2 linked regions of the Nothobranchius furzeri genome follow. The protein of the gene in region 1 purifies or fractionates together with the protein of each later gene. This does not show direct contact. Links are inferred from orthologs where the notes say so. Each region holds a gene or a part of one and is shown on either strand. Other genes may lie near its edges.

Region 1 (14,995 bases):
CGTTACACTAGTGACATAAACAAGCTTGATCTTTACACTAGTGACATAAACAAGCTGGAATCTTTACACTAGTGACATAAACAAGCTTGATCTTTACACTAGTGACATGAGCAAGTTTGAATCTTTACACTAGTGACACAAACAAGCTGGAATATTTACACTAGTGACATAAGGAAGCTCACATCTTTACACTAGTGACATAAACAAGCTGGAATCTTTACACTAGTGACATAAACAAGCTTGATCTTTACACTAGTGACATAAGCAAGTTTGAATCTTTACACTAGTGACATAAACAAGCTGGAATCTTTACACTAGTGACATAAGGAAGCTGGAATCATTACACTAGTGACACAAACAAGCTGGAATCATTACACTAGTGACATAAACAAGCTTGGTCTTTACACTAGTGACATAAACAAGCTTGATCTTTACACTAGTGACATAAACAAGTTTGAATCTTTACACTAGTGATATAAACAAGTTTGAATCTTTACACTAGTGACATAAACAAGCTGGAATCTTTACACTAGTGACATAAACAAGCTTGATCTTTACACTAGTGACATGAGCAAGTTTGAATCTTTACACTAGTGACACAAACAAGCTGGAATCTTTACACTAGTGACATAAGGAAGCTGGAATCATTGCACTAGTGACATATGGAAGCTGGAATCATTACACTAGTGACATAAACAAGCTGGAATCTTTACACTAGTGACATAAACAAGCTTGGTATTTACACTAGTGACATAAACAAGCTTGGTCTTTACACTAGTGACATAAACAAGCTTGATCTTTACACCAGTGGCATAAGCAAGATTGAATATTTACACTAGTGACATAAACAAGCTTGAATTTGCCACAAACATTCTGAATTTACAACAGATTTTCTCTACACCATTACTGATGTAAGCTATGTTTCTTGTTCCAAGAAATAGCATCTCCTCACAGTCAAGAGGTGCATTTTGAAAGTGTGTTGGCCCAAAAACCAGAAATAAATTTGTAGTGTGGCTATTTGGGCTCAGCCATCCATGCTTTAGCAGAGCTGGCAGCTCAGCGAGTTACTATTGTCGGAGTTTGACCCAGTCCAACAGGACCAGAAAAGAGGCCAGCTCATTAAAGATTGTACAACACATCTAGTTTAATGCAGCACTATAAGAAGTGGAAGTACAAGCCAAACATACTGTCATGTATTTTAAATGTTGCTCACTTTGCTGCAATAGTCTTTTATTGGTCTAAATTATCTTTATTTTAATTACTTCATTTAAAGAAAAGACAATGCATATTTATGAACAGCATTACAACTGTAAATATGCCAGATTGTAGCCTTAGGCTAATTTCCATCTGCAGTCCTCTGGCAGGTTAATGTTAAAAGAGAACAATATACATTTAGAAGAAAAAAAACAGTCAGGAACATATTTTATGAAAAAGACAAGAGTAAAAACAAATAAGTGTTCAGTTTTGTTATAAGGCAAAAGACAAAAAGGGATTAATCTTTTACCCTCACAAGGTTTTACCGTCAGATCTGGAGAGCCGCATGCAGGCATAGGCATAGGAGCTGAACAAGCTTCCAGCATCAATGATGGAAATTTGTTCAAAATTAGGATCATCTTGTCAGTCTGGCCCCTTAAGTTCATCTTGACTTCACAGCCAGAATGAGCTGTACTTATAGTTTATGTTGGTTCTTGTCCTTTAGAACCAAATGGCTTCCTGCACCGGCACAACTCAAAAGGCGTTTCAGTGCCCCAGAATGTTCCAGCGTGCTGAGGGGGATCACCTCACCCTCATGTTTACACCTTCAAAGCCAAAAACTCCAGTGTACATCCTCATCCATTCACAGCAATCTGTAGCTTTAAATATCTGACTTATAATAATTAGTTTACTCAATGTGAATAGATATTAGAATAAACATTAAGTTTTGTTCTTTGGTTGAAGTGTCTCATAATGACTGACAGATCTGAGTTGAAAGTGGTGTCAGGATTATTTTCTGGACACCCTGATCAGGATTGAGCTTCCCATATCGTGACCCTGCTTTGGAACCAAAGTTTCCCCTCGTGTGAGTTCATTCATCAGTTGTAGCGGATTAGCATTTCCACTTATATTTGTAGTTTTTAAACTTACTCTGAATTCCTTGATAATGCTAATTTGTTTTATTCCTCAATTGTTGTGATCTCTATGTGCAGTAGCGACTTCACGTTTTATATGTTGGTATGATTTTCAGGTTCAAATAGCACTAATGCATTTCTTCTAAATGCTGCCTCCTAGTGAGAGTAGAGACAAACAGCAGGTCCTGTTTGTAACCCTAACCCTACACAGAGAAACGATCCGCAGTGATGTAAGCAGCAGCTGCGCAGCAGGGACTGAAGTGTGATCAAGTGAGCTGAAACAAACTATAAGGGGTTACCAATTTATTACACGTTAAAAGTCTTTATGCAACATTCAACTTTTCAGATGGCAAACTTGTTAAATGGGCAACAGGCTATTGAACACCACTCTTGCAGCATCTAAATGTTTGGCCTGCTGTCTCCTTGACTGTGATTGATCAAAAGACTTGTGACCCACAAAAATACTTTAACAAGATAAACTCCACTCCTTTCTCTGATAATGGATTATTATAAAAGAGACTGAAACCTGACAGAAGAATCTGTGTTCAAACAGAGCGCTTTGACATCATTTTAATCCAAGTGGAGACACCAAAATCATAAACGGTCATTTTAAAGCTCATAAGGGTCAGACTAAGTCTAAACCTGACAAATTGTACACAGCTGCCCTTTGCATTTACAATTAATTGACAGTTTGTAGTCATTTTTAAACAAAACCCACTTAAAACGGACACTTTTGAAAGTAATCCTGCTTTTGATCAACTGATGAGGCTGCAGGTCTTCACCGTGTCCTGAAATGTCTCAGACTGTCAGGTATTCCTTCAGTTTGTCCATAACTGCAGGTATTCTGTCTGCGGGGACCAGCATCACCGTCCTGAATGGCTTCATGGGAACGTCGTCAAACGACCACCTGCCACTCAAACACGAGTCTGCATCATCCTGCACTGAGTAGTGGAACTTTATGATGGCTTGCTGCAACAACAAACCCATCAAAGACATTATTATTAACAGTTTGAAGGTAAAACGCTCAAGTTACTGATATAAACTCCCCTGTATGTGATCACGTATTTAAACAGAGAGCATTCACCTCGTAAAAGAACTCCTCCTCGGCATTGACAAACATGTACTCCTCTTTAGGAGCTCCTCCTCTGGCCGGGACGTTCTTGGCAGCTTCTTTGCACGTCTTGCTGACCATCAGGCAGTAATGACACTTCTCACTGGGTTTGTTGGTTCTCTGAGCTTCAGCCATTTCTTTCCTAAAAAGGACATGATGAATTTAGTCATCAACAAGCTTGGGAGATATTTAAGCCATTTCAGTTAGCATGAAAATACTAATTTGGGCTTGGCCATTTCTCTGAAATCACCAAACTTATTTTTAGTTTTGCAGAATTAAATGTATTGAGGCACTGTTTCATTTCATTGATTTTCCCCACAGATCCCAAAGAAGGTTAGTGTTTAATCATTTATTTTAGGCAAAAGCTGTTTTCTTCTTGCACTGAGAAACGTCATAAGGACAGATTTAACTTCATGTAATTTTTGAACTATGTGCTTGCTGTAGTTTTCTGGGGCAGCAGCATCAGCACCAGAGATCTCAGCAGGTTCAACAAATGCATTAATAAAGCTATGAAAATTCATCTGGCAGAGCCTGTAGATGTTAGGGTCTGTGACGATCCATGAATAAACTGCTTTCATATATAAACACATCCTACTGAGACTGGAGCTATTTTATGACAGATTCATTCAGATCTGCCGTCAAAAGTAAGGTCATGTTCTACTTGACTGCACCTTTATGTAGAGAATAAATGTTTCACCCACATGTGCACATGATCATTACGACAAATGTCAATGTTGATGGATATTATTTTAAGTTCTGAGAGTTACTTTTTTTCCGTCTCTGGCACCGTGTTGTAGGGCTGTGTTGGCTGACGCAGCTCTGCAATATCGCGTGGACATCGGGGACAGTCCCACTGGACTGGCAGACCTGGGTAGTGGTTCCCTTATTTAAAAGGGGGACTGCAGGGTGTGTTCCAACTACAGGGGGATCACACTCCTGAGGCTTCCTGGTAAGTTCTATTCAGGGGTTCTGGAGAGGAGGGTCCGTTGGATTGTTGAACCTCAGATTCAGGAGGAGCAATGTGGTTTTCGTCCTGACTGTGGAACACTGGACCGGCTCTATACCCTTAGGGGGATCCTGGAGGGTGCGTGGGAATTTGCCCAACCAGTCTACATGTGTTTTGTGGATTTGGAGAAGGCGTTTGACCGTGTCCCTTGGGGGGCCCTGTGGGGGGTACTCCGGGAGTCTGGGGTACCAGGCCCTCTGATAGGGGCTGTTAGGTCCCTGTATGACCGGTGTCAGAGCTTGGTCTGCATTGCCGGCAGTAAGTCGGGCTCGTTCCCAGTGAGAGTTGGACTCCGCCAAGGCTGCCCTTTGTCACAGATTCTGTTCATAACCTTTATGGACAGGATTTCTAGGTGCAGCCAAGGTGTGGAGGGCATCCGTTTGGTGGCCTGAGGATCAGGTCTCTGCTTTTTGCAGATGACGTGGTCCTGTTGGCTTCATCAGATCGTGATCTTCAGCTTTCGCTGGAGCAGTTCGCAGCAGTGTGAAGCAGCTGGGATGAGAATCAGCTCCTCTAAATCTGAGACCATGGTCTTGATTCGGAAAAGGGTAGAATGCCTTCTCCAGGTCAGGGATGAGGTCCTGCCCCAAGTGGAGAAGTTTAAGTATCTCGGGGTCTTGTTCATGAGTGAGGGAAAACTGGAGCATGAGATCGATAGGCGGATTGGTGCTGCATCTGCAGTGATGCGGGCGTTGTACCGGTCTGTCCTGGTGAAGAGAGAGCTGAGTCAGAAGGCAAAGCTCTCGATTTACCGGTCGATCTACGTTCCTACCCTCACCTATGGTCATGAGCTTTGGGTAGTGACTGAAAGAACGAGATCGCGGATACAAGCGGCCGAAATGAGTTTTCTCCGAAGAGTGGCTGGGCTCTCCCGTAGAGATAGGGTGAGAAGCTTGGTCATTCAGGAGGGGCTCGGAGTAGACCCACTGCTCCTCCACATCAAGAGGAGCCAGTTGAGGTGGCTCAGGCATCTGGCCAGGATGCCTCCTGGACGCCTCCCTGGTGAGGTTTTCTGGGCACGTCCAACCGGGAGGAGACCTAAAGGTAGACCCAGGACACGGTGGAGGGACTATGTCTCTCACCTGGCCAGGGAACGCCTTGGGATTCCCCCGGAGGAGACCTGGCCCAAGTGGCTGTGGAGAGGGGAGTCTGGGCCTCTCGCCTTAAGCTACTGCCCCCGCGACCTGACTCCGGATAAGCGGATGAAAATGGATGGATGGATGGCACAATGTTCTTGTAGTGCTGTTTCTTTTTTGTTCTTCAGAGGAACTTCTTATTCTCTCTGGTGATTATTTGTTGATAGGAGCCTGTAAGTGGTTAGACTGGGCAGCAAAAGAAGCACTCACTGGAGCTGTGTATGCAGAGGGAGGGCGATCTGTGGAGGCACATTGATAAAGCGCTCACTCAGCAGAAGTCCCACAGGTTTGCTTGTGTCATTTAAGATCTGCTCCAGCTGTTCAGTCACACTGTGAGAAGCATTCTTCTCACACTGATCCAATATCAGCTCCTTGATGTCCTCCACACACCGCACGCCCTAAAAAAAAAGAAAAGCCACAACCTTCAAAATTAAGTTAAAAATTCACGTATTTTACTCATCTTCAGAGATTACCTACCTTTCTCTCTGTGAGGTTGAGCATAGCAATAAATCCAAAGACTTCATCCGGGTCATCATCATCACTGTCCTCTGGAACTTCAGCTTGCTAGAACCAGATGAAGGAGGAACGTAATCAGAACAGGGGATAAAATGCAGCGCCTCAAAGTTTGGGACTGGAAAAAAACGACTCACTTTGATGACGCTCCCAATATGATTCTGCTGGATGATGATGTCCGTCATCTCTGCTGTGTCTACACGCGCCTTCAGGAACAGCTGAGTCCAAACTAGTAAAGATTAGTGACAACTATTCGTGACGCTTATGTGACAACAACACACAGTTCTGCACCTGCTGCAAAAGCTTCTTAATGCCACTGAAGTCGTTGTTTGAAATCGCATGGGCTTCAAAATCCACCACGACCTCCTGCAAGTAGAGAAGAAAAAAAATATGCATTTTAAACCAAAAATGATTATGTCTTCATGATAACATCACGGACATGCTAGCTAGCGGGTAGAAAGGCCACGTGGGTTTTGTGGATTAGCCACCTCGTCGATTTCCTCCTCTGACGCCTCGCTGTCGTCCTCTCCAGACTCGCCGTCATCCTCCGGACTCTCATCCGAGCTGTTGTCGCTTTCTTCGGGATTCTCACCCAAACCCACTGCTCTCCTCTTAGCGGATGAGGCCATGATCAAGCGTGAAACCCGTGTATATTTAAGTAGGCGCTGCTAAGGTTAACGGATAGCAGGAAACTGGACACGTTCGGGCGCCATTTTGGCTCAAAATGACTGTGGAATGGGCGTACACCCGAGAAGATCCGAACAGACGTCGACTCCATGTTGGCTCACGCGACTGAACCATTTCCTAACACTGGGGAAAACGTTGTAAATAATATATTGGAATAAAATAGAAAATATGTCTCTAAAATATGTGACATAAACACTAACTTGCATTAGATGACCTATTTAAATGTTTAAAATGTAAATATAAAACATTTTCTAATTTTACATAGATTTGGGGAGACATTTATCGACAGGCAATTTTTGGACATCTTATTTTTAAATGCCAATGAAGTCGTCCGATGAACAGCTGAAGGTGTTCATTCTTATGCATGTATATATGTCGATGTTATGCAGTTATTTCGTCTTTCCAACCGCATATTGTTGCAAATATAATTGCGCAATTAATGTTAAACAAAAACTATTAACGTTTATAGCTGAAAATCGACGTATTTTTGGTTAAACTGGAACGTTATCGTGGCTAATCTGTCAGTGTGTTTTGCAACAACAACAACAGACAGACCGCAACAACAGACCGACGTGCCCAACTACGCTAAAGCGGATTTTACGATACAAGTTGACGTTATTGTTAGTTTATAATAGTTTAGTGTATAATCTTTCCTATTCAGGGATCGTGACTCAACAGTGTTGCTATCTGTAGGTTGCATGTGACCGTTTCTGGGTGTAGCTGAGCTACTTAAGTCTCCACACCCTCTGATTTAACTACTTTAAATTTCTGAAAGCAGCTGATACCTTTCTAACAGATGTCAAAACCCACCTTGTGTTATTGGCTCCGTTGAACTGTCTTTTATTCATTGACAGGATGCGTGTTTTGCTTCTTAAAGACCCCAGAGATGGAGAGTCTGGACCTGATCCTTACATTAAGGTAGAAACAGTTTAACCAAATCAATGACGTGGTTTTAACTAAACACACACTGCTTTGTTGCTATGCTTTTTACTCTACAGGAGCTGGAATCACGTGGGCACAAAGCAACCCTAATTCCAGTGTTGTCTTTTAAGTTTATCTCAGCAAACACCTTGTCAGATAAGGTAAATTAAATAACATTATCTGAACCAGTGTGTCATTTACCTAACTTTCTATGGCTGCACGTGTAAACCACTGATCATTTTAATGTATTTATTTCATAAGCTTCTTCAACCAGAGAAACACGGTGGCTTGATATTCACTAGTCCAAGAGCGGTGGAAGCTGTGAAGCTGTGCTTGGAAGATAAAGATAGGAAACAAGGTCAAAATGAAACAAGCATGATTAAAGCATTAGCGTGTCTGTGTGCCAATTCTGCTTGAGAATTTTAATAATATTATTTGTAAAACAATATTTTTCATCCAGAGTGGAACAAATCATTGAAAGACAAATGGAACAGGAAATCCATCTATGTGGTTGGGAAGGCTACTGCAGCTTTAGGTGAGTTCTTAGAGCACCTGCAGACACCTTTTTTCTAGATGTTTTTATGGATAGTGCACGTTATAAACTAGTGAAAGATGCAGCCGGGTGTGACGAGCACCTGGTGTTCATACATGTGCGTAAAGTAGTGTAACTACCTTCAGTTTGCTGTTACACACAAGTGGCAGTAAGCTGTGAACCACAGAAACTGGATTTGATCTGGAAGACACCAATCAAGTGTAAAACCTTCCTAATGTTGGTTTTACCTTGTTAGTCTAGTGGCAGCTGACTCCATTGTCAGTGTTTGATTGTAGGAAGCCCAAGTCTCCTCCTTTTCCAGTCGGCTCATGGGTCTCTAAGAAAAAATAAATGCAAGTAGATGGGGCTATAAGAGCTGTATTCTAATATGCTTTGCCTTACGCCCTGAATCACTCATTTGTTGTGATTTAAAAATAGCTAGAATGTTTTTTTACATACGTAGACAAGACCTGTAAAAACCCGTTTTTTAAACATTTCTGTTATAATCTTTGTGCTTTTTATGATTTCAGTACAGAGCCTGGGTCTGGAGCCCGAGGGTGAGGACACGGGGACAGCAGACGTCCTATCACGTCTCATCATCGAAAGTACGATGTGGTTTTTGTTCTCTCATTTTTTACACCTCTGTATAATCATTTAATTGTTCTAATCTCTGAAATGAAGTGATATTTGATTCATTTCTTAGGAGAGGAAAAAAATATCCCACCACTTTTCTTCCCCTGTGGTTCAATTAAAAGAGAAGTCTTGCCCACGGCTTTAAGGGAAAATGGTAAGATTTTCCCTCTTTTGTGTCTCACGATTAAAGCTCAGGTCGGCGAAATACCCTCTGGGGTTAAGCTAATTAACAAAATAATAATTGCACTACCTTTGTCACATTGGGGATGTGTTTCTTTGTTTCCAGGGGTTCCCCTGGAGACTCTGACTGTCTATCAAACTACTGAACATCCAGATCTGGAGAAGAATCTAAAAAACTACTTCACAAAGCAGGTGAAACTCCCAACTCCTCTTTTATTTTGATAAAAACATAATTTTCATATATAACCAGTGTTTATTTGCTTTTGTGTTCTTAGGGTATTCCAGGGAGTGTAGGATTCTTCAGTCCGTCTGGGGTGAAGTTTTGCCTGGAAGCTGTAAGGAGGCTGTCAGGTGAACAGCTGACGCAAATTAAGGTAAAGTTTCCTTATGGTCAATCAAAAATATATGAAATGGATGATTATGGAGCATGCCACAGGTCTTCAGCGCTCATTCTGTTTCCAGTTTGCAGCCATAGGGCCCACCACACGAGATGCTATGGCAGCAGAGGGTCTGTGTGTCAGCTGCACAGCAGAACAACCAACAGCTCAACACTTGGCTGCAGCGATAGCCGACGCTCTTCAGTAATCAACCAGACAAATACACTTTTTATTGTTTCTCATTGTTTTGGGATTTTTTTGTCATTGTTTTGATGCCCTTTTCTTGATTTTGCACTGAAAAATGTAGTTTAGCCATTTTTCTTTCATCTCAGATTTGATTAAAAATGTATTTTAAATTATTTTTGAAAATAAACCTTAATCAGTTTGACAAATCTTGCGTAAAACATTTCTGTGTGTGTGTGTGTGTGTGTGTGTGTGTGTGTGTGTGTGTGTGTGTGTGTGTGTGTGTGTGTGTGTGTGTGTGTGTGTGTGTGTGTGTGTGTGTGTGTGTGTGTGTGTGTGTGTGTGTGTGTGTGTGTGTGTGTGTAAGCAGGTGTTGGCAAAAGTGTTTTACATCTTTTATTGCTCAGATGAAAGTGAAGGTGTCCACGGCTTGGTGACAGTTTGTTGAAATCATCGCAGCATGAATGACATGGAGGTTGGTCAAACTGATGAGTTTACTTTTCACGCACAACTGAGGAAAGTGTAACCTCCAGACAGTCCCTCCTCTAAGATGGGTGTGGAGAAACATTTGCTTATAAAGCAGTGCTGCTCCTGCTGTTAGTAAAAACTAACGGCACGATGCTGACTTCCATCCAGCTGATTGCTTTGCTCTTTCTGACCATCCCAAACAACGCGGAGAAACTTTTCCATAATCGGGATCACTCTGATGTTCAGATCCTTAAAACTCACCAGGCTCCTGTTATTACAGATGAATACAAAGCCGAGGTAATTTATAATGTGTGTGTGTGTGTGTATATGTATAAATATATGTTTGTTTGTTTTTTACCAATTGTATCTATAATAATAAACAAGCCAGCTCTGGGTCTTGCTTTAGTTATTTCTCTCTAGATATGGATTCATCAAGCCGATTAACTGGGAGGAGATCCAGACGGAGAGCTCCGACACTTATTTCAGTGAAGACATCCTGGATGATCTACAAGCCAAAATTCAGGAGGGGACCTCAGTGCCTCATTCAAGAGATGGTCCCGGAAGTGGCACTCATGATGTCCATGTGAGCCAAACTGGGAATCAAGCATTTATTTCAGCACTTAAAGAGTTCCAGAGAGTTTCAGATCTGCCTGTTACAGGGGTGTTTGATGAGGCCACCCAGGAGGCGATGAACAAACCGAGGTGTGGAGTCCCCGACAAGGAGATTGACGCCTACGTAGAGCCTGAGAACACTGATGGACCAGATACCGAAGACAGTCTGAGTGACAGTTTTAATGAGACAGGCATCAGCAGCTCTAATTCCTCTGATGATGACATTTTCAATTTTAATGATACAGATACTCTTCTCGTGGGTATTTCAAATGATACAAACAGGAACAGCTCCAGTTTCAGTGGTTTGGATGGTCAGATGGGGAAAATTAGTATGAACGCAAGTCTGAGTGACACAGTTAGACGCAGGAAGCGCCACCTTTCCAGTCTGGTGTCAAAAAGGCGGCAGAGAAGAGACCTGGATCAAACTGGTTTCATTGCTTTTTCTAAGAGTGTACTAAAATGGCGGCTGATCGGAGAAGGCTACAGCAGTCAGCTGAGTATCGAGGAGCAAAGGTACATCTTCAGACTGGCTTTCAGGATGTGGAGTGAGGTGTCACCACTGGAGTTTATTGAAGATATTAGGTCACCTTTGGAGGATGTTGATATCAGGCTGGGCTTTGGCACAGGTAGGCTTCAGAGGACACATCTTTCATTTGTTGGAGTTTAGAAAATGTGTGTGTGTGTGTGTGTGTGTGTGTGTGTGTGGGTGTGGGTGTGTGTGTGTGTGTGTGTGTGTGTGTGTGTGTGTGTGTGTGTGTGTGCGCGCGTGTGCTTGTCTGCAAAGTTGCAAAATAATTGGGACAGTTGAATTTTGGTTCAGTGCTTTGTGTTTTTGCTGTTGCTCACCAAAAGTACACTTTGGCACAGTGACAGTTACCAGACTTGAGAAGGCTTCAGTTGTATGTAATGCCAGTTGTAGAGTTTTATTACTCATCATTTGTCTGCATACAGGAAGGCATTTGGGATGCAATCAAAGGTTTGACGGAAATGGGCAAGAATTTGCCCATGCCTGGTTCCTTGGTGATATACACTTTGATGATGATGAGCATTTCACTGCTCCCAACTCTCACAGTGGAATCAGCCTCCTTAAGGTAAGTGTAGGTGTGCTGGATTGAATTAGAGACAAAAAAATGATCAAGAAGAATGAGGTTCGGTGCTTTTCATTTTTAGGTGGCGGTTCATGAAATAGGCCATGTTTTGGGCCTACCCCACATCTACAGACCTGGATCTATCATGCAGCCCAGCTATTTGCCCCATGAATCAAGTTTTGAGATGGACTGGATGGACAGGAAAGCTATACAGCATCTTTACGGTACGTCATCACCATCTGCTGGATACACACCGAGAATCTGGACCATCTTTATAAATGTATGTGTTTGACTCCAGGTGCGTGTAGAGGTAGATTTGACACTGTGTTTGACTGGATCAGAAAGGAGAAGACACCTTATGGGGATGTGACCATCCGCTTCAACACATACTTCATGAGAGATGGTTTGTACTGGCTGTACGAGAACAGAAACAACAGAACGCGATATGGTGATCCGGTTGCTCTGCAGATCGGCTGGCATGGGCTTCCCAGTGATGGAGTAGATGCATATGTGCATGTGTGGTCCAGAAAGAAAGATTATGTTTATTTCTTCAAAGGTAGATTGATAGTTGTACAATTTTCTGAAAATATAAATTGTTTTTAGTTGATGTCGTTCCATTTTTTTTTACAGGCACACAGTTCTGGAGATATGACAGTGAGAACGACCAGGTTTTCAGACAAGACTCAGAAGGACAGCAGTATCCAAAGCTGATTTCTGAGGGTTTCCCAGGTGTGCCCAGTCCAATCAGTACAGCTTATTATGACAGGAGGGACTCCTGTATCTACTTCTTCAAGGGTGATAAAGTAAAAATAACTTATTAGTGTTTCTTTCACATGTATAGTTCAGAGCCTGAAATCTGAATGAAAAGTGTTAGTAGGTTTTGGAACGGTTACTGCCAGTTCTACATTTGCTGTAGCTACTTTCCTGTATGTGAATGAGGAGGCGGGGCTTTAGAGGCAGAGCTAAAGCACAGCAGAGAGGGATGGGGAAGGATTTGCAAGTTTTATTCCATCAGAATTCTTTTGTCATTCTGCCTCCCAAACCCTTCTCAAGCAAGAATCTCACAAGCACTAACCATTACACTTTCCTGATGCTTTCCACTGTTATAAGCAGTAGGAAAATATACATTCTTGCAAGGCTCGCTTGTCTAACCCTGTTCAAACTGCGTTTTCTGTCCGTCGTAGAGAAATCTTTTGTCATCGGTCTGTGGCCATCCAGTGTGACCGCTCCATCAACAGCCTACTGAGCACTCTCAAAGCCAAATTCTACCTCCAATGGTATTTAAGTCGTGTCAGAAAATCTATGACTCCGTTCTTCAATCTACCAATGAAAATACACCTAGGGAGTGACACGAGAAACTATTGACGAGAGTAAAATGCAATAGTAGGCCACGCACAACAGGTGGAGCAGTCCTTTTTGGAGTTCCATTTGATGTCTAATAAAAGGAGTTTTAATGGTGGCGCTTTGTTTTCTTTCATTGTTGACATCTTTGGTATCTGTCGACTTTTGTTGGCGTATGCTTTTTGGTGGTGTGGGCTCATAACTGTGGCGTGTCCTATACTATAGAGGGAATTTGATTCAACAAAGTGTTGGGGTGTGTAGTGTGCCTCCTTTCTAGGACTTAGACAGTTAACCCTAAACACGAATTAGTCCTTTGCAACTGCCGAAAATGCACGGTGTCAACGGGCCTTAGTTTGATATTCTTATCACCTTTTTTAGAGTCCACTGTCCAATGAAAAACTTTAACAGACCTTCAGAAAGCCTAACAAATGGAGCTCAAGACCATTGTAGAGTACTGCGTGTCTGGCATCTGTAGTTACGCAACTCATGATGTCGTGGGGAGAAAGCAGCCTAATGGTGTCTCATCAAAATGAGGAAAAGCATTCATGCAAACAAAAGTGCCACATTTTCCCTGTGATTTGTTGTAATTATGAGAATTTCTGCTCCGAGAGATAAATGAACTATCTTCTCAAACAGGTCTATGCATTCAATGTGAAAACCAACAGCTTGGCAAGAGGCTTCCCAAAAAACATCAGAGCCGTTTTCCCTCCAGTGGAGAGCGGAGACCATCCAGATGGCAACATCGACGCTGCCTACTTCTCCTACACCCACAATGCCATCTTTCTACTCAAGGGCACCCGTTTCTGGCAAGTGGTGGGCAGCCGCGAACGTTGGCGCCGGCCCTTTCTGCCTCGAAATGGCTTGATGCCACACAAGGAGGTGGATCAGCAGTGGTTTGACATCTGCAACGTTCATCCTGCTGCTCTCAGACTAACCCACTGAGGGGAGAGAGGAATTAGCTCATGTCTACAGATGTAGTCTAATGGTTTACCTGTAGGTATACATGCTGCCATGTGTTTTCACGCATCCATTATTTCATTTTTCTCCAATGCCGATTGTGTAATCTGTTTAAAAGACAAAAACAACTGTTGTTGGCTTGTTTTCGCAGATGTGTGTAAATAATTTATGTTACAGCTGCTGTTTGTTTCTCTTTTTCTCCTTGGAGATGCTAGGTTCATAGTGATGTGTTATGATTCAGATGTTTAGGGTACCAGTGTGTTGAGGGTCTGACCTCATGAGGAAATTACTATGCAGTGATTTTCTCCAAAATGACTGTGCTTAAATTGCTCTGAAAAGCAAATAATCACATCAGCGCCAAGAAACTTCATTTCCCATGATGCTTTGCACACGGAAGCATTGTGATGACGTCACCGCCTAATACCAGAAACACGATCTGCGGGAGGCGGGAGCTTGGAGCTTTCCCGCGACTTCAAAGACTATAAATCATGAATGAGACAAAGAAACCTCGTTCTTTTGCCCAGGATACCTGGCGGTGAGGACACGCTTGTCGAACGCTCCGACTTCTTTGAGCACGCGGAAGCTCTAAGAGCCAAGTTGAGCCCACGGGACCGCTGATCTGCTCGTTTCTGCTCCCCTCCAGCTGATGTTTGAGGACACAGAACCAGCTGAGGGAAACAACAACTCCATCCAGCTCTCAGAAACGCTGTAAGTTATAACTCAGCACAGAAAGAAACTTTGCTGTCTCTGTCCAGCCCGTGGAGAAACACTCGTGAACGCCAAACAACGGAGAAAGCATCAAACCGACGGATGACGCCGGAAACTGCGGAGAAAAACGGAGAACCGTCAAGTCATAACAGCGGGGGACGCCTTGCTGCTTTGGTGATCAGGAAACTCATTTTTTTTCTCTCCTTTTCTTCTCCCGTTTCCTCTATAGTCTCAAATAAGCAATAAACCGCGTCTATTGCTTAAAAAGTAGCTTCGTGTTTTCCTCTTTCGTCCCAAACACGTCCGTCGGGTCATTTTGAAAGAATAAACTGCTTATTGATCATTGTTTGGTATCTTAAAATGGTTTCTGTCATGGCCAGGCTGAAACTAAAAGATATTAATTTGTGATTAATCTTTTGTGTTGTTTCATGATC
Region 2 (15,046 bases), on another chromosome or scaffold:
AAAACTCAAAGGTGATCAAAAAGTGGTCCGAGAGGACTGGATTATGTGGAAATATCGTTATTTTCCTCACACTCTATGCCATAAATCAGCACAAGGTTTAATGTATGATGCCAGGAGTGGGTGGAGCTATGCATTCTTTGGGTAAAACCAGTATATTACTAAAGGCTACACTGAGGCTATCATTTTCAATGTCCACATGAATGTTAAAATCCCCCACTACCATGACCTTATCAGTATTTAGCACCAAATCAGATAAAAATCAGAGATCTGATCCAGAGACGGCCTCAATTTTACTGACAGGAACTGAATAACTTTTCTGAATATTAAATGACAACTTGGCTTGCCTCACTCACCTCCATAAGGCAGCGGATGACGTCAGCGCGTCAGATTACTGGCTTTGTTTGTACGGAGCTGCTGCGGAGCTTCAGACCGAGCCATCTGAAACCCTCCCAGGGCCGTTTTCATCACCTTCTTTCGCCTGAAGCCGCTGCCGGGATGCCGTCGGACCGACCGTTCAAGCAGCGGAGAACGTTCGGTAAGACGGTGCTGTCTACAGCTAGCGTTAGTGCGTTTCAATGCGTAGGTTCACACCGGATTTAACGTGTTTACATGTGTTGATGGTCGGTCTGTAGCTTCACGGTAAACGGGGTCAATGTGACGCCGCAGCCTTTACACAACCGGATCAGCTCCGTGACCCACCGCGAGGCCAAAACAACAAGTTGTGCTGAAACATGACCCCTACACGTATTCTCTGATTAAATCGGTCACCTGACAGGAGGGGAGGAGTCTGGCAGTGACCCGCTCACCTGAACGGACCAGCTGTCAGTGTCAGAAACATGAATATCAAAGCAAGGTGAGAACTATGTAGATGAACACCTGGAACGGGTTGATAGAAAGCTCTAAAACTGGAGTTTCACCTGGAACACCCTAACATCTCTGACTGGAACCACAGGATGATGTCATCAGGAAGAGACCCATCCGGCCAATGGCGAAAATGATAACCACGATTATTTTGGTTGATGCAAATATATCGCGGGATCAGGTCGCGAGGCAGTAGTCTAAGCAGGGAGGCCCAAGCTTGAAATCAGGTGTGTTGAAACTGGGAAAACACTAAAACATGTGGGATAGTGGGCCTTGAGGACCAGAGTTTGACACCCATGCTAAGGTCCAGAACGTGGTTATGATGGTTTCATTTAGAAATGAGTTTCATCCATCCTCTTCCGTTTATCTGGAATCTGGTCATGGGGGGCAGCAGCCTAAGCAGGGAGCCCAGACTTCCCTCTCCCCAGCCACTTGGGCCAGCTTCTCCGGGGAATCCCAAGGCGTTCCCTGGCCAGCTGAGAAACATAGTCCCCTCAGTGTGTCCTGGGTCTTCCTTTAGGTCTTCTCCCAGTTGGATGTGCCTGGATAACCTCACCAGGGAGGCGTCCAGGAGGCACCCCAACTAGAAGCCCGGGCCACTTCAACCGGCTCCTCTCGATGTGGAGGAGAGGCGGGTCTAGTCCGAGCTCCTCCCGGATGACTGAGCTTCTCACCCTATCTATAATTCCGTTTATTTATAAAGCGCCAAATCCCGACAAGTCCTCTTAAGGCGCTTCTCAAAGTAAACATTCCAATAGTTCAGTTCATTAATGCAATCAGTAAAAAGTTTCCTATATAAGTAACCCAGCAGGTTGCATCGAGTCACTGACTTGTGTCAGAGACTTCACAGGAAGAAACCTCCAGAGGATCCTGGATCAGCATAAGCAGCCATCTGCAGTGACACACGGAGTCGAAAGCCTACCATCCAAAATGGCTGCAATATGGCCACCAATCCAAAACACATCTTCTCTTGTTGCTGTAAACTTCCTAATCTCATCATGCTGTCTATTTGTTTTGTCGACAGCTGATCGATGCAAAGAGGTCCAGCAGATCCGAGAGCAGCACCCAAACAAGATCCCTGTAAGCTGCACACGCACGAACCTGGGGGGTAGTCCACAAAGCGAGTTTAGAACATCGATGCCTTCCTGATAAATGCCTGCCTAACAAAGTGCATCTGTGCACTCAAGGATCTGTCGGTTCCACCGACTATGCTCAGGTGGATTCAGTTCTCTTTAATTCAAGTGAACCTCACAGGCAGCCTCTGTTAATTGATGCTGGATAACTGAGAAGGGAAGCAAAGTGTTTTGCTCTTCTCTTAGACGGAACATTCATGCCCACGAGGACTATCTGAACTAAAACAGAGACCGCCAGCTGCTTGGTTATAGCCATGTATCTGGCGCTATTTAAGCCGAGCTTATGCTTCTGAGTGTGCGTCGGTACCAAGGGATCAAGGCCGCTGGCTTTGCTCCAGCATGGAAGTACCAAAAATTACAGTTCCACCCTCATCCGCTAGGGGCTAGTACCAAAACAGAGCAAGTTCCCTTTGACTCCCATGTTAAAAAAGCCAGTTTCACAGCATAAATAAACACATTTACAGCCTGGTTCAAAAAGCCATTCTAGGTTTGACTGATCTTTCTAACATTTATGACAACTCTGAGGGGGTGAGTTATTTTATAACTCTTTGACTGTAATTAAATGCTTGAAATTATGAATAATTATTGAGCACCAGAGCTACAAGCTAGCTCTAGGAAAGGCCTCATGTTAATGGACGTTCGGCCATTTTGACTCTGAACTTTAGCTGTGTCCTCTGTGGGTTTGTGCTTGGATGTAAGGGACAGCAGCAGCTCAGGAGGTAGAGTGGGTTGTCCAGTAATCGGAAGGTTGCAGGTTCAATCCCGGCTCAGACCAGAGAATTCTGTCATTGTGTCCTTGGGCAACACACTTAACTCGCCTTGCTGGAGGTGGTCGGAGGGACCGGTGGCGCCTGTGTTCAGCAGCCTCGCCTCTGTCAGTGCGCCCCAGGGCAGCTTTAGCTACGATGTAGTTCATCACCACCAGCGTATGAATGGGTGAATGACTGTGTTGTGAAGCGCCTTGGGGGGTTGTAGAACCCTAAGGCACTATACAGATACAGGCTATTTACCATTTAATCATCGGATTATTTACCATACCATACCATACCAATTTTATTTATATAGCACATTTAAACACGGCATGAGAGCCGACCAAAGTGCTGAACAAAACACACAATAAAAACAATCAAAAATAAAAACTAAATCCATTAAAATCAAGTAATCCAACCCTAAAAGGAAAGGTAGAAAGGGAATAAGTTAGACAGAATTAAAAGCCAGAGAATAAAAGTGAGTTTTTAAACGAGACTTAAAAAGGGAAAGAGAGGAAGAGAGTCTGATCGGGAGGGGCAAGTGGTTCCAGAGCTTCGGTGCACAAACTGAAAAGGCGCGCTCCCCGCGGGACTTACAGCGAGAGCTAGGGACATGTAGGAGGTGTTGGTCAGCTGATCGGAGAGATCTTGTAGGGACATATGGGTGAATGAGCTCAGACAAGTAGCCAGGTGCTAAGTTATTTAGGGATTTAAACACAAAAACCAGGATCTTAAACTCTATCCGGAGATGGATGGGGAGCCAATGAAGATTTGCTAAAACCGGTGTGATGTGTTCCCGCTGCCTGGTGCCAGTCAAGAAACGAGCTGCTGCGTTCTGCACAAGCTGAAGTTGAGCGAGAGTGGAGGAGGAGATACCGTATAGCACTGAGTTAGAGTAGTCGAGACGGGAAGTAATAAATGCATGGACAACTGAATGAAGATGACGCCTTTTTAAAATGGGCTTAACTTTAGAGAGACGCCTCAGGTGGTAATAACAGATCTTAACTACCTGGTTGACATGAATGTCCATTTTTAGTTTAGCGTTCATCACAACCCCTAAGTTTGTGACACGGTTTTTCAACCCACTTGTGATAAATGGAAGGGTCAGTTGGGGACTTTGAGAAGTACCAGGGCTGAAAATGATGGCCTCTGTCTTAGCGTCGTTCAGCAAAAGAAAGTTTTCTGACAGCCAGCTCTTCACATCATTACAGCATTCAACAAGGGGCAGTAAGGAGTCATTAGGCTTCACAGAGGCATATAATTGGCAATCGTCTGCATAAAAATGGTAATCAATGTGGTGTTTTTTAAAAATGTCACCCAGGGGCAAAATATATAAATTAAATAAAAGGGGTCCAAGAATAGAGCCCTGGGGAACACCACAAGTCAAAGCCGCAGAGGGGGAGGCAGCACTACCCATCATAACATTAAAGGTGCGGTCACAGAAGTAGGACCTAAACCAGTCTAAGGCAGTCCCCTGGATTATTTGGACACAGAGGGCAAGCTGCGGTTGCTGACGGCACTAACAGGTCATCCAAGCAGTTTCTGCTTCTTTTTTATCAGCAAGTAAAATTATTTTTCTGTACTTTATTTCCCTGATTGAAGGGGGGGGGGGGGGGGGGGGGGCTGTGAATTTAACATAACACTGCTTGGTCAAGGATATTTGAGAGCTCTCCAACAGGCTTGCAAGGCACAGTCTGTTAAACGTCGTGGTTTCATGTGTGCAGGTGATCATCGAGCGGTATAAGGGTGAGAAACAGCTGCCAGTTTTGGACAAAACCAAGTTCCTGGTACCGGATCACGTCAACATGAGCGAGCTGGTGAAGATCATCAGGTAAACTGAAACCTGTCTGCCGAGTGGCCTGTTGGGAGGCTCAGCTTCTCTTGGATCATTAACATTGTCTAATATTTCTTATCTCTCATCATAAATTTGGGCAATTTTGATTACTTTTACTTCCCTGCATTTCCAGGGGGGTTCTGTAAAATCCCTTCTTATATATTGGAGAATTGTGTGCAATTTACCTCCGTAAACGTCTCTGGTTTTGGTAAATGAAAACTTTACCTCACAAAGTTATGAATCTACGCCATCAGTAAGCCGTTACCCCTCGTTTATTTTCTGGTTTGCTAGGCGTCGGCTGCAGCTCAACCCCACCCAGGCCTTCTTCCTGTTGGTCAACCAGCACAGCATGGTGTCGGTGTCCACCCCCATCTCTGAGATCTATGAGCAGGAGAGGGACGAGGACGGCTTCCTCTACATGGTCTACGCCTCGCAGGAGACCTTTGGCTGCTAGGAGGGAGGGGGCAGAGCATTTTCAGGTGGAGGGAAGACAGATGAAGATTTCACAGGAAAAACCAACATCCCCTCCTTAAGCCTAGATCACACTGTGCGATTTGCGGCAGATTGTTCATGTCGCATTGTGAGAATTCCAGAACTGTGCCACACGGCACGGAGCAAGATTCCTGTGAGGCAGACTGCATGACGTCTCGCTCCAGCAGGACACGCGGCGTCATGAGCGCAGACCACTAAGCAGACCGCTAGCCAAAAGAAAGCTGAAAAGATCAAATAAAGCACCGCGTTAACATTTCTTTATAGAGTCAGCTCATGACCCAGCGCAGCTTCCTGTGTCCCCCTGCAGCTAAACGCTACTGAACCATCCTTATTGGTTGAATATGTGAGATTTCCACCAACAGAAAAGGGGTTTTATGTTTTTGTTTTATTTTTTGTTCTTGTGAGCTGCTCTCGTCTCACTCTCACAAAATTAGATTTCACAATTCAGCTGATGGTCTAAAAATTAGTTTAATTATTTTTAGCTTAACTCCGGTTTAGCTTGGGCTATTAACAAAACTAAAAACTGGGGTGTCGTTTATAATCCGCATTTTAAACAAGTTTAAACTGCTTCTGGTCGGTTGCAGACAGGAGTCGTAGGATGAATGCTCGTAGACTGTCGGAGGCCGTCTTTGGCTGTGAGAAGGCTCAAAAAGCCGTCGCAGAGCCCTGCAGACCGGACCACCACAGATTTGCAAATCGCCCTCACGTTCAGCTTTTTTTTCACACGATTATGCTCCCGAAGAGGGATTTGGCTAAGACGGTCACAAATCGCACAGTGGGATCCGAGCTTTAGATTAGGTCGGACACCAGAGGATTTCCTGTTTGTGCTTTTATTTTATCCACTGCTGCTCAAGTCCTCTTATTTTGGAGGAATCCTACAAACTAAGCCGTACCTTTAGTTGGTAAGAACGATTCGTTAGTTCTCATCATGAGTCAAGTTAAACTCAGCACAGGTGCGTCCTGCATCAAATCCATCATTTCAGCTTTTTTGTTTTTCAGACCAGTTTACTGATCTAAAGTGCAATATTTCCCAGTTTAGTTCAGACCTGATCACACACACCTCTGTAAGCACAACAGCACGTACTCACATGCTGACTTTAAAACAACCTGGTCTGGTGACCTGGACTCTGAACCGGATGTGGTCAGTGGTTCTGAAACGCATCATGAGAAAGGGGCGGGGTCACAGGACACTAGTGTGTGTGTGTTGAGATGCACTGGCTCTAACAGACCCCGTAGAGCTGGATGTCGTGGCGCCCCCTGCTGGTGTACATAATCTTTACAGCAGCACCAAGTGGAGCTAAAACGAAATCTGAGCTTCTTTTGCACATTAATTAAAAATAACTGTTAGAATAACAATTATGCTTTTGTTTTCTTCGTACAACAGTTTACAAATGGACTTGTTTTCTTTTACATATAAATGTGTATTGGTTTTAATTTACAGGTGTTTTAATTGAATGTTAAACTTTTTAGCCGTTTCCCCAAACCAAAACTGTTCCTTAAAGCTTCCTGCTGGTGGCGCTGTTGTGGCGTACATAAACAGCTTTTGCCAATAAATAAAAAGTTGCCTTTAAAGATTTGCATCCTTTCTTGTACCTGAACACAGGTGTTCACCTGAAGGAAAGAAATTAAAAAAATAAACGTTCTGGTTTTTAAATGATCACCAGAATCAGAACTCCTTCCTGTTGTTCTGGTTCTGTTCAACAGATTCAGGAGCAGCGGCTGCTGGAGCGACCCTGCAGCTTCTCTTCATAAAGAACTCAACAGATAAGAGTTTGGTTTTATTGTACAGAAAGCATCCCCGTAGTCTGATTTCTTACATTCAAAACACAAAAACCTGGTGAGAAACAAACACGAGTTCTCATTCGCCAGCTTTCCGAGGAATCCCAGGAGCTCGTTTTAAGTCCGGTTTAGATCCTGGGTGACACGCAGCAGAACCCCAGACCAGGCTCTAGGCCTGGTTCTTCTGCTCAGGGACAACGGGTGTTTGTGGCTGCAGCTAGGTTTTACATCTGGTCCTCCCAGCAGCGGTCAGAGGCGGCAGCTTTACGCCATGCTGAGAAACAAGCAGAGAAAATGCCGTCGAGTTAATGGAGCATCTTCAGTCGGTGACAGGAAACAGGAAGGAGACACTGCAGCTGCAACATTCACGCTTTTATACAGAAGCCAGAGTAAACTTAGCATGGAGTCACTAAACCATCAGCAAACTGGGGCCAACAGCTTGTTTTCTTCAGCGGTTTAGTCACAACGAGTCTTTGTTCTGGTCTCCAGCATGTCCCACAGTTGTCTCAGCAAGTTCAAACTCGGACAGTTTTCAGGATTTTGTTGCCTCTTTCCCCCGCACTTACACTTGGACCAGGGACATTTAAGCTAAGGTAAAGTCTCTCATCACCACACACTGGTGGAGTTACATCTAGATACCTGACCCATCCCCATGGGGGGCGGCGAGCTGCAGCTGGTATGACCCGACCGGGTTTGAACCCTGATCTCCTGGTCCCAGGGTGAACACTCCACTAGGCTACTGAGGAGGTTGAACCTCGTATCACAACCAGGGGCGGAGCTTCGGATGGGCAACGGGCCCCAGCCTAGACTTGGGAGGGGCCCGCCCCAATATTATCCGGCCAGCTGCTAAAATGGGGAACGACCTCTTCTGTTTACTTGCTCCTGAAATGTTACTTCACCTCCGATATTTCAAAATAAGATTCTCTCCGCTCATCTACTTGTTCTCCATCCTTAATACAGTTCTTGATCGTCTGTGCCCACCCTGCCCTTTCATTTGTGTTGCTGGTTTGACGTGAGCACGCTCCACGCTCTCCGATCCTGCATTTAAGTCCCGCCCCTTGCTTTATACACAGTTTAAATATCAGACTCCAAACGGGAGACTGTCCATAAGGCACGACACCGACTTTTCTCCTATACTTTGGACTGTCTCTCATGAGAAGCTCACCCGAAACACCGCAGCTAGACAGGAAGAAGCCAGTGGCTTTTCAAAATAAAATAAAATTTAAATGTTTCATCATATTTTAATTCATTTCTAACTATGATCATGGTTAGTATAAGTGCGCAGTTATAGACTGTATATTTCACGCTTTACATTGTTTTACAATAACGTGAGGGGTTACGATTTGTTAGGGTTTGACTTTTATGTTGAAGGGGGTGTTCTTGGCTGGAGAGTTCTGGTTCGGTTGTTTAGAAAGAGAAAACGAGCTAGTGTGAACATGTTAACATTTTTTACTGGCAGTAAGGCGTGGGCCAACAGTAGCCTGGAATAAAATCCCAAACAGAACAAGTTGGAGTATCTTTAAAAAATCTAATTAACATATATTCTATAGGTCTGGTGGCTTTTTTTTTGCCATGGTGGTGCGACACAATCAGTTAGTGTAGACTTTTATTTTGACGAACATCTAGCAGGAGAAATGCCCATTAAGGCGTTTCTGGGTTAGGTGGTGATCGGAGGGACCGGTGGCACCTGTGCTCGACAGCCTCGCCTCGGTCAGTGCGACCCAGGGCAGCTGTGGCTACATCGTAGCTCATCACCACCACCGTGTGAATGTGAGTGACTGGGTGAATGACGGTGTTGAAAAGTGCCTTAGGGGATTCCAGGACTCTGGCAGGCGCTATCTCAAATGCAGACCATTCGACACGTTTAAAACCTCTTGTCAGACTACACGGTTCTGGTACCTGTCGATCAGCGAGTCCCTCATGCTGGTGGCGATGGCGGACGGCTGCATCGTGTCACTCAGCTTGAAGACACTCTCGATGACAGACAGCTCGGTGCTGGTTGTGTCCAGGCCGCAGAACGCACACCAGTCGTTCACCACCATCCCCGCAGCGATAACCTCGCTGCCTCGGTTTACGGTACCTGCCTGGAAATGAGCAAAGTTCTGAGTAGAGGACCCACCTGGACCCAGACTCCACATGCAGACACCATCACTCACCACCAGGGGGACCTGCAGCAGGGACGACAGCTCGTCCTGGTCCTCGATGGACGTCTTCGGGTGGACAAGGCCTCCCTGGTTGCTGAACGCACAGTAGGAACCGACCAGAACCTGCTCGGCTACAGTCTGACGGAAGACCTCCACCTTCAGCGTGTCTGCAAGGATCTCCTCCGTCTCCTGAAAGAAAACCAGCGTTAAGCCGACAGGCAGCCTTCACCTGGTCTACATCTTCACTGGTGGCTCCAACGGGACAACTTCCGTTCGCCTCACCCGGTCCAGGTCGGGGTGAACCAGAGCCACATAATCGTTACAGGTGACGACATTCCCCAGGGCAGAAAGCCGCTCCTCGACCCTCTGGATCTTCACCGAGTCCGGGAGGCTGTTCCTGATGTGCTGCAGCTCCTGGTCTGTTGTGTTGTTGGGCACCAGGAGGCCATGGCGGTTACCTGCTCACAGGAGGAGGAGGATGAAGGTACAGAACCGGGTCGGAACCAGCAGAACCACCAGAGAACGTGCTGTCCCACTCACCCACACACATCCTGCCGATGATCCTACAGCCTGCGATGGAGGCGTGAACCACCGGGATGGTTTCTGATAACTCTCCTTCAAACACGCTGCAGACGCACAAACACGACACTGTGACGTCACGTTTGTTTTAGAGTAGTCCGTGACGTATCACACTCACCTGTAGAAGTTCTCTGAACCGCCAATGGCCACCAGGCAGTAGGTGTTGGTCAGTTTGGCGAAGCAGCCGACTTCGTTGTTCTTCTCAAAAGAAGCTCTGACCGCCATGCTGAGGACCGGAACCAGCGCGGGTTCTAGCAGAACTGTAGTGGAGATCCGAGCGGAGACTTCTCTAAACGCGGCCTAATGCTAACTTTTAGCTCCACGTGAGCGTAAACAGACCCAAACGCGCCTCGCGGACTCCCGACACGCGAGGAAGCTTCTAAGTTCTTCCTCCGAGCTCACGCGATGACTTCCGCTGCCTGGTTAACGTGGTGACGTAAGACGCTAGTAGGTGGGCACTGGGCAGTCTGGACGTCACGTGATCGTTCCTTTGATGACGTCAGGACGTCACGTGATCTCCCTAGTCTTTATGACACCAGCGGTAGCTCGCTCAAGCACACGGAACAGGTCAGTCGCTGCTCAGAGAGTCTTGTAGCAAGATGCTTTTTTTACTCGCAGGCGTCCTTTTTGGAAACTATTTTACTGAAACTGTTAGACAAACCTTTGATTATTTCTTCGAAAAGCAAGAAAACAAAGAATTTGATGAAGCTTTAGAAAAATTATTCCAGTCAGTGTCTGGAGACAATTTTATCATCGGACCTGAACCCAGAACCAACTCTGACAGAGAAACTACTCTATTTACTTCTCACGGTGAGGGGAGGGTTTCTGAATGTCCAGGCAGAGAGACACCTTACAGCCATGGAAACAGAGATTTACAAGAAATCTCAGTCGCTTATCCTGGGAGAGATGAATCTCAGATTTCAGAGCTACATTTCCCTGAGGAAATGGGAGGTTGCCTGTCTGAATCCCTAGCCAGCCCCACAGAAACACCGGATGCCCAGAAAAATGACCAACATTCACTTATTGACCCAAAAAGAGAATTCTCTTCTCTGCTGGACTACGGTGCATCAGGTAATGCCGGCTGTAAGACTGCAGAAGCGTCCAACCATGAAAATATCAGAAACTTAGAAGGAACAGTTGTCACTTTAACGGGATGTCTCTGGAAAGATGAATCCCAAGTTACAGCTGTTCCAGATGAGAAATTTGCCAAGGCTCACGAGGAAATCAACCAATATGAGTCTGACGATTCACAAAACAGATATTTCTTTGATTCAGAGCCTGATGAGATATTTTCCTCTGATGGGAGTGCCAGTACAACTTCCCAGGAGGAATCAGGAACAGATGAAGAGAAATTCTTGTTAGTTTCAGAGAATGGCGCTGATTGTGTCCCTGTAACGTCTGAAACACATAAAGCAAATTTGTTTGAAGCAGCAGATGTTCGTGAGTTGTTGCCGTTTGATGAAAGCAGAATTCAAGCTTTCCATTTTTCAAACTCAAATTTAGGACAAACTGAAGACGAGATACCAGCTTCACAAAAAAGTGATGGGAAAACGAATTTATTCGATCAAGAAGATGATTCTATTCAGTTTTTGTCTTCTGAAGAATTTGCCTCTGAAACAAGAAACACGTTTCTGGCTTCACAGGAAATCTTTGATGACAAATCTGTCTCTTATGAAGACGTCAACGTGGATTTGTTTGGTCAGAATCCTGACAATCTTGAGCTGTCTTTAGATAAAAGCGACCCTCAAGTTTTATTCCATTTAAAGGAAAATTTCAAGCTAAAAGAAGCAGAACTCGTAAATCTTCTGGATGGATTAGGTCAGGATGAAGCATCATTCGCTCCACACACAATAGAAGATTACTGCTCCATCACTTCTGAAGACACTCAGGATCTGCTAGAGTCACAGGGACATTTAGGGGCCGCAGAAACTGAATATTTTGTTTCAGAGGATGAATTTAGTGAGGAGGAAACATCAGCTTCAGCCGACGATGATGTTAAACCAAATATGTTTGAAAATGTATTATCTTCAGAGGAATCTGAAGCTGAATGTTTAGTTTCAGAGGATGAATTTAGTGAGGATGAACTCAGTCAAGATGAAGATGCTTTGGATGAAGGAGATGTTGAAACAAATGTGTTTGATCTGGGTGACGAGACACTTCAGATCGGGCCTCTTGATAAGGACAGGACAGCGACTCAAAGGGCCCTAGCTTCACAAGAGAGTTCAGTTGAAGGAGAGTCGGTAGCTGCAGAGGACAATAAACCTTCTTACAAGCCTGCAGACAAAGACTTTTGTGGATATGAACTCGATCTCTCTGTGCTGCAGAAGTCAGATGTTTTCACACCTGAGTATTGGTCACTTGTAAAGATTTGTGAACAATTTAGTGCTAACCTTTCATCTTCACACAATAGTGATTTTGACTTTTCCAGCTCTTATTCTGAAAGTGACGATGACGATGATTTGTCACCCAGTTTAACAAAGCTGGATAAGACTGTCCTTCCCAGGATGTCCCTTAGTAAGACATCACCCAGTTTAACAAAGCAGGATAAGACTGCCCTTCCCAGGATGTCCCTTAGTAAGACATCACCCAGTTTAACAAAGCTGGATAAGACTGCCCTTCCCAGGATGTCCCTTAGTAAGACATCACCCAGTTTAACAAAGCTGGATAAGACTGTCCTTCCCAGGATGTCCCTTAGTAAGACATCACCCAGTTTAACAAAGCAGGATAAGACTGTCCTTCCCAGGATGTCCCTTAGTAAGACATCACCCAGTTTAACAAAGCTGGATAAGACTGTCCTTCCCAGGATGTCCCTTAGTAAGACATCACCCAGTTTAACAAAGCTGGATAAGACTGTCCTTCCCAGGATGTCCCTTAGTAAGACATCACCCAGTTTAACAAAGCTGGATAAGACTGTCCTTCCCAGGATGTCCCTTAGTAAGACATCACCCAGTTTAACAAAGCAGGATAAGACTGTCCTTCCCAGGATGTCCCTTAGTAAGACATCACCCAGTTTAACAAAGCAGGATAAGACTGTCCTTCCCAGGATGTCCCTTAGTAAGACATCACCCAGTTTAACAAAGCTGGATAAGACTGTCCTTCCCAGGATGTCCCTTAGTAAGACATCACCCAGTTTAACAAAGCTGGATAAGACTGTCCTTCCCAGGATGTCCCTTAGTAAGACATCACCCAGTTTAACAAAGCTGGATAAGACTGTCCTTCCCAGGATGTCCCTTAGTAAGACATCACCCAGTTTAACAAAGCTGGATAAGACTGTCCTTCCCAGGATGTCCCTTAGTAAGACATCACCCAGTTTAACAAAGCAGGATAAGACTGCCCTTCCCCAAAACAGCAACGGGAAATCGTTTAGATGGGCAGATAAATTTGGACTTCATTTGTGTAAAAAGAAGTTATTTAAAAAAATTTATGAAATTACCCTGTCCAGCATGTCACCCAGTAAAATCATATGCAGTATCCTTAAGCAGGATAAGACTGCCTATCCCAGGACTTACAGCTATAGGCTAGGCAGCCTATGTGCTGGTTTCACAGTTTTGATTTTTATTTTGCTTTTATTGATTTTGCCCTGATTTTACTCATGTTGTACAGCGCTTTGTGATTTATATCTGTGAAAGGCGCTCTATAAATAACCTTTACTTATTTACTTACTAGTATTCCTGAATCAATTCCACCAGAAAAAAGACACACATCGGTCCCATCTGGAATAAACGTTAAACTGAAGCTGAAATGGCAGCAATTTAAGAACAGAATGAAGCTTAAATTTGAGTGACTTCTGAAAAAAATCTAACTTAGTCCGGTGTTTATTTGTTTATTTGAATGCTGAAAGTGTTCATTGTTAGTTTTTAGATAAATTAGAAAAGCATTTCCATCAAGGGTGACTATCAATCACGTCCCTTCCCTGGCACACAGCACCACCACGTGTACCCAATAATCTGTAAAAAAAAAAAAAAAATGCAACACAAGGATTATGTCACAGAAAATATTCTTCCGAATAATTTTTGTGTCTCTTTGTGCTGCATGGGGGGTTTTCTCTGGGAGCTCCAGTTCACCCCCCACCCCTAAATCCTGATAGATCTGCTCAGATATTTTACGAGGATAAAGCCCCTTGAGATGAAACATCTGGTTTTTGAGAGGGACCTCCTTAACATACAACAGAAAATTAGAAAACCAGTAGAACAGATAAGTATTCGAGAGAAATATATAAATAAACTTAGATAAATAATCAAGATAAAAAACTAGATAGATAAATAAAGTTATGATATGTGCTCTCTTCGCTCAGCTAACCAAGATTTGCTCATCGTCACAAAAACAAGAGTGAAAGCAAGATGTGATGTGGCCTTTTCTGTCCTAGCTCCGAAACAATGGAGCAGGCTCCCACTTGTTGTCAAACAGTCCCCATCTCTGCAGGTCTTTGAGTCATTTGAAGACTTATTTTTATCGCTTGGCTTTTATGTAATATGGATTTTTAGAATTTTAGTCTTTTATCGTATCTGTTTTGTTATTTTAGTTACTCTTTTATGCAGTTTTAATCTGTCTTATAGTCTCTTTGCTCTTTTGTTGTTTTGATGTTATGTTCAGCACCTTGGGCTTCTGTAAAGGCAGTGGAAGGTGCTATACAAATAAGATTTGATTGATTGAAATATTATTTCTTCACACTCTCTGCCATAAGTCAGCACTAATGTATGATGGCAGGAGTGGGTGAAGCTGTATTCTTTGAGTAAAACCAATAGTGTCTACAGCCCAGTCTCAACACTCGCACCGTGCCCTGCGGACTTCAGCTAAGTGCACTTGGGAAAAGTGTGCAGCAAGGCTTCAAGTGCGTAGTACACAAGTGTGCAAATAATTTCAAAATTGAGATAGGGAGTATTGTGTCATCGATTGCAACGCATGCCGCGATGCTGGTCGCTGTGATAATATTTTCAGAAACCTTTATTAACAACTTTTAAACAAACTCCCAAACAGTTATTTGAAATTAATTTCAGCAGAAGCTTACAGTTGTGCTTTGTCATAAAGTAGTCCCATTTGAAATGATGCCTGTGATAGATTCACTTGCAGTCAGTCTGAATATTTAGGTCAACAAGCAGAAATGGGATCACAACTGAACTTTTTTTACTTACAATGCTAGTTGGATCCATTCACTTACTGTGTTTGATGCTAAGCTAAAGCTAAAGGAGTACAGCCAGGTTAGCAGAATGACTGGACTGGTTAAATTAGTATTTTTTCCCCCGCATCTAACTCTGGAAAATATGTCAACAGACAAAAACTCAATTTTAATATCCCTTTAAATAGTCAAAATTCAATCATTGAATTGTCCATGTAGACCACAAGACCTTCCCATGACACTGAATTAAAACTAGTAGATAAGAACAAAGATGGAGGAATGACCTTTTTATATGCTGTCTTTGTTTACAGGATCTACTTTCTTTACTGTGTACTTGTACCTGCAGCACAGAAGGTACA

The links.
Region 2: the proteins of bccip (region 1) and eif6 purify together in Homo sapiens (affinity purification with mass spectrometry; 3 studies listed by BioGRID and IntAct, counting the BioPlex papers as one, with this or other methods). This does not show direct contact. The link is inferred for Nothobranchius furzeri from reciprocal best matches to the Homo sapiens genes BCCIP and EIF6.

Annotation. Positions count from the first base shown.
Region 1 is NC_091756.1:42,755,515-42,770,509, reverse strand, and holds bccip (protein BCCIP homolog), read right to left. Parts: upstream 6,504-14,995; coding exon 6,363-6,503; intron 6,241-6,362; coding exon 6,166-6,240; intron 6,093-6,165; coding exon 6,012-6,092; intron 5,926-6,011; coding exon 5,839-5,925; intron 5,760-5,838; coding exon 5,572-5,759; intron 3,362-5,571; coding exon 3,193-3,361; intron 3,078-3,192; coding exon 2,907-3,077; 3' UTR 2,395-2,906; downstream 1-2,394. Other genes in the region: uros (uroporphyrinogen-III synthase), read left to right, coding at 6,610-6,698, 7,416-7,479, 7,560-7,643, 7,744-7,840, 7,943-8,017, 8,545-8,619, 8,718-8,801, 8,934-9,019 and 2 more; mmp21 (matrix metallopeptidase-21), read left to right, coding at 10,006-10,152, 10,262-11,093, 11,419-11,558, 11,638-11,779, 11,854-12,111, 12,186-12,358, 13,533-13,838. UniProt on the Homo sapiens protein: During interphase, required for microtubule organizing and anchoring activities. During mitosis, required for the organization and stabilization of the spindle pole.
Region 2 is NC_091743.1:78,238,783-78,253,828, reverse strand, and holds eif6 (eukaryotic translation initiation factor 6), read right to left. Parts: upstream 10,000-15,046; 5' UTR 9,797-9,999; coding exon 9,690-9,796; intron 9,619-9,689; coding exon 9,533-9,618; intron 9,451-9,532; coding exon 9,275-9,450; intron 9,182-9,274; coding exon 9,005-9,181; intron 8,933-9,004; coding exon 8,748-8,932; intron 7,123-8,747; coding exon 7,113-7,122; 3' UTR 6,835-7,112; downstream 1-6,834. Other genes in the region: microtubule-associated proteins 1A/1B light chain 3A, read left to right, coding at 370-535, 1,886-1,941, 4,468-4,574, 4,869-5,031. UniProt on the Homo sapiens protein: Binds to the 60S ribosomal subunit and prevents its association with the 40S ribosomal subunit to form the 80S initiation complex in the cytoplasm. Behaves as a stimulatory translation initiation factor downstream insulin/growth factors.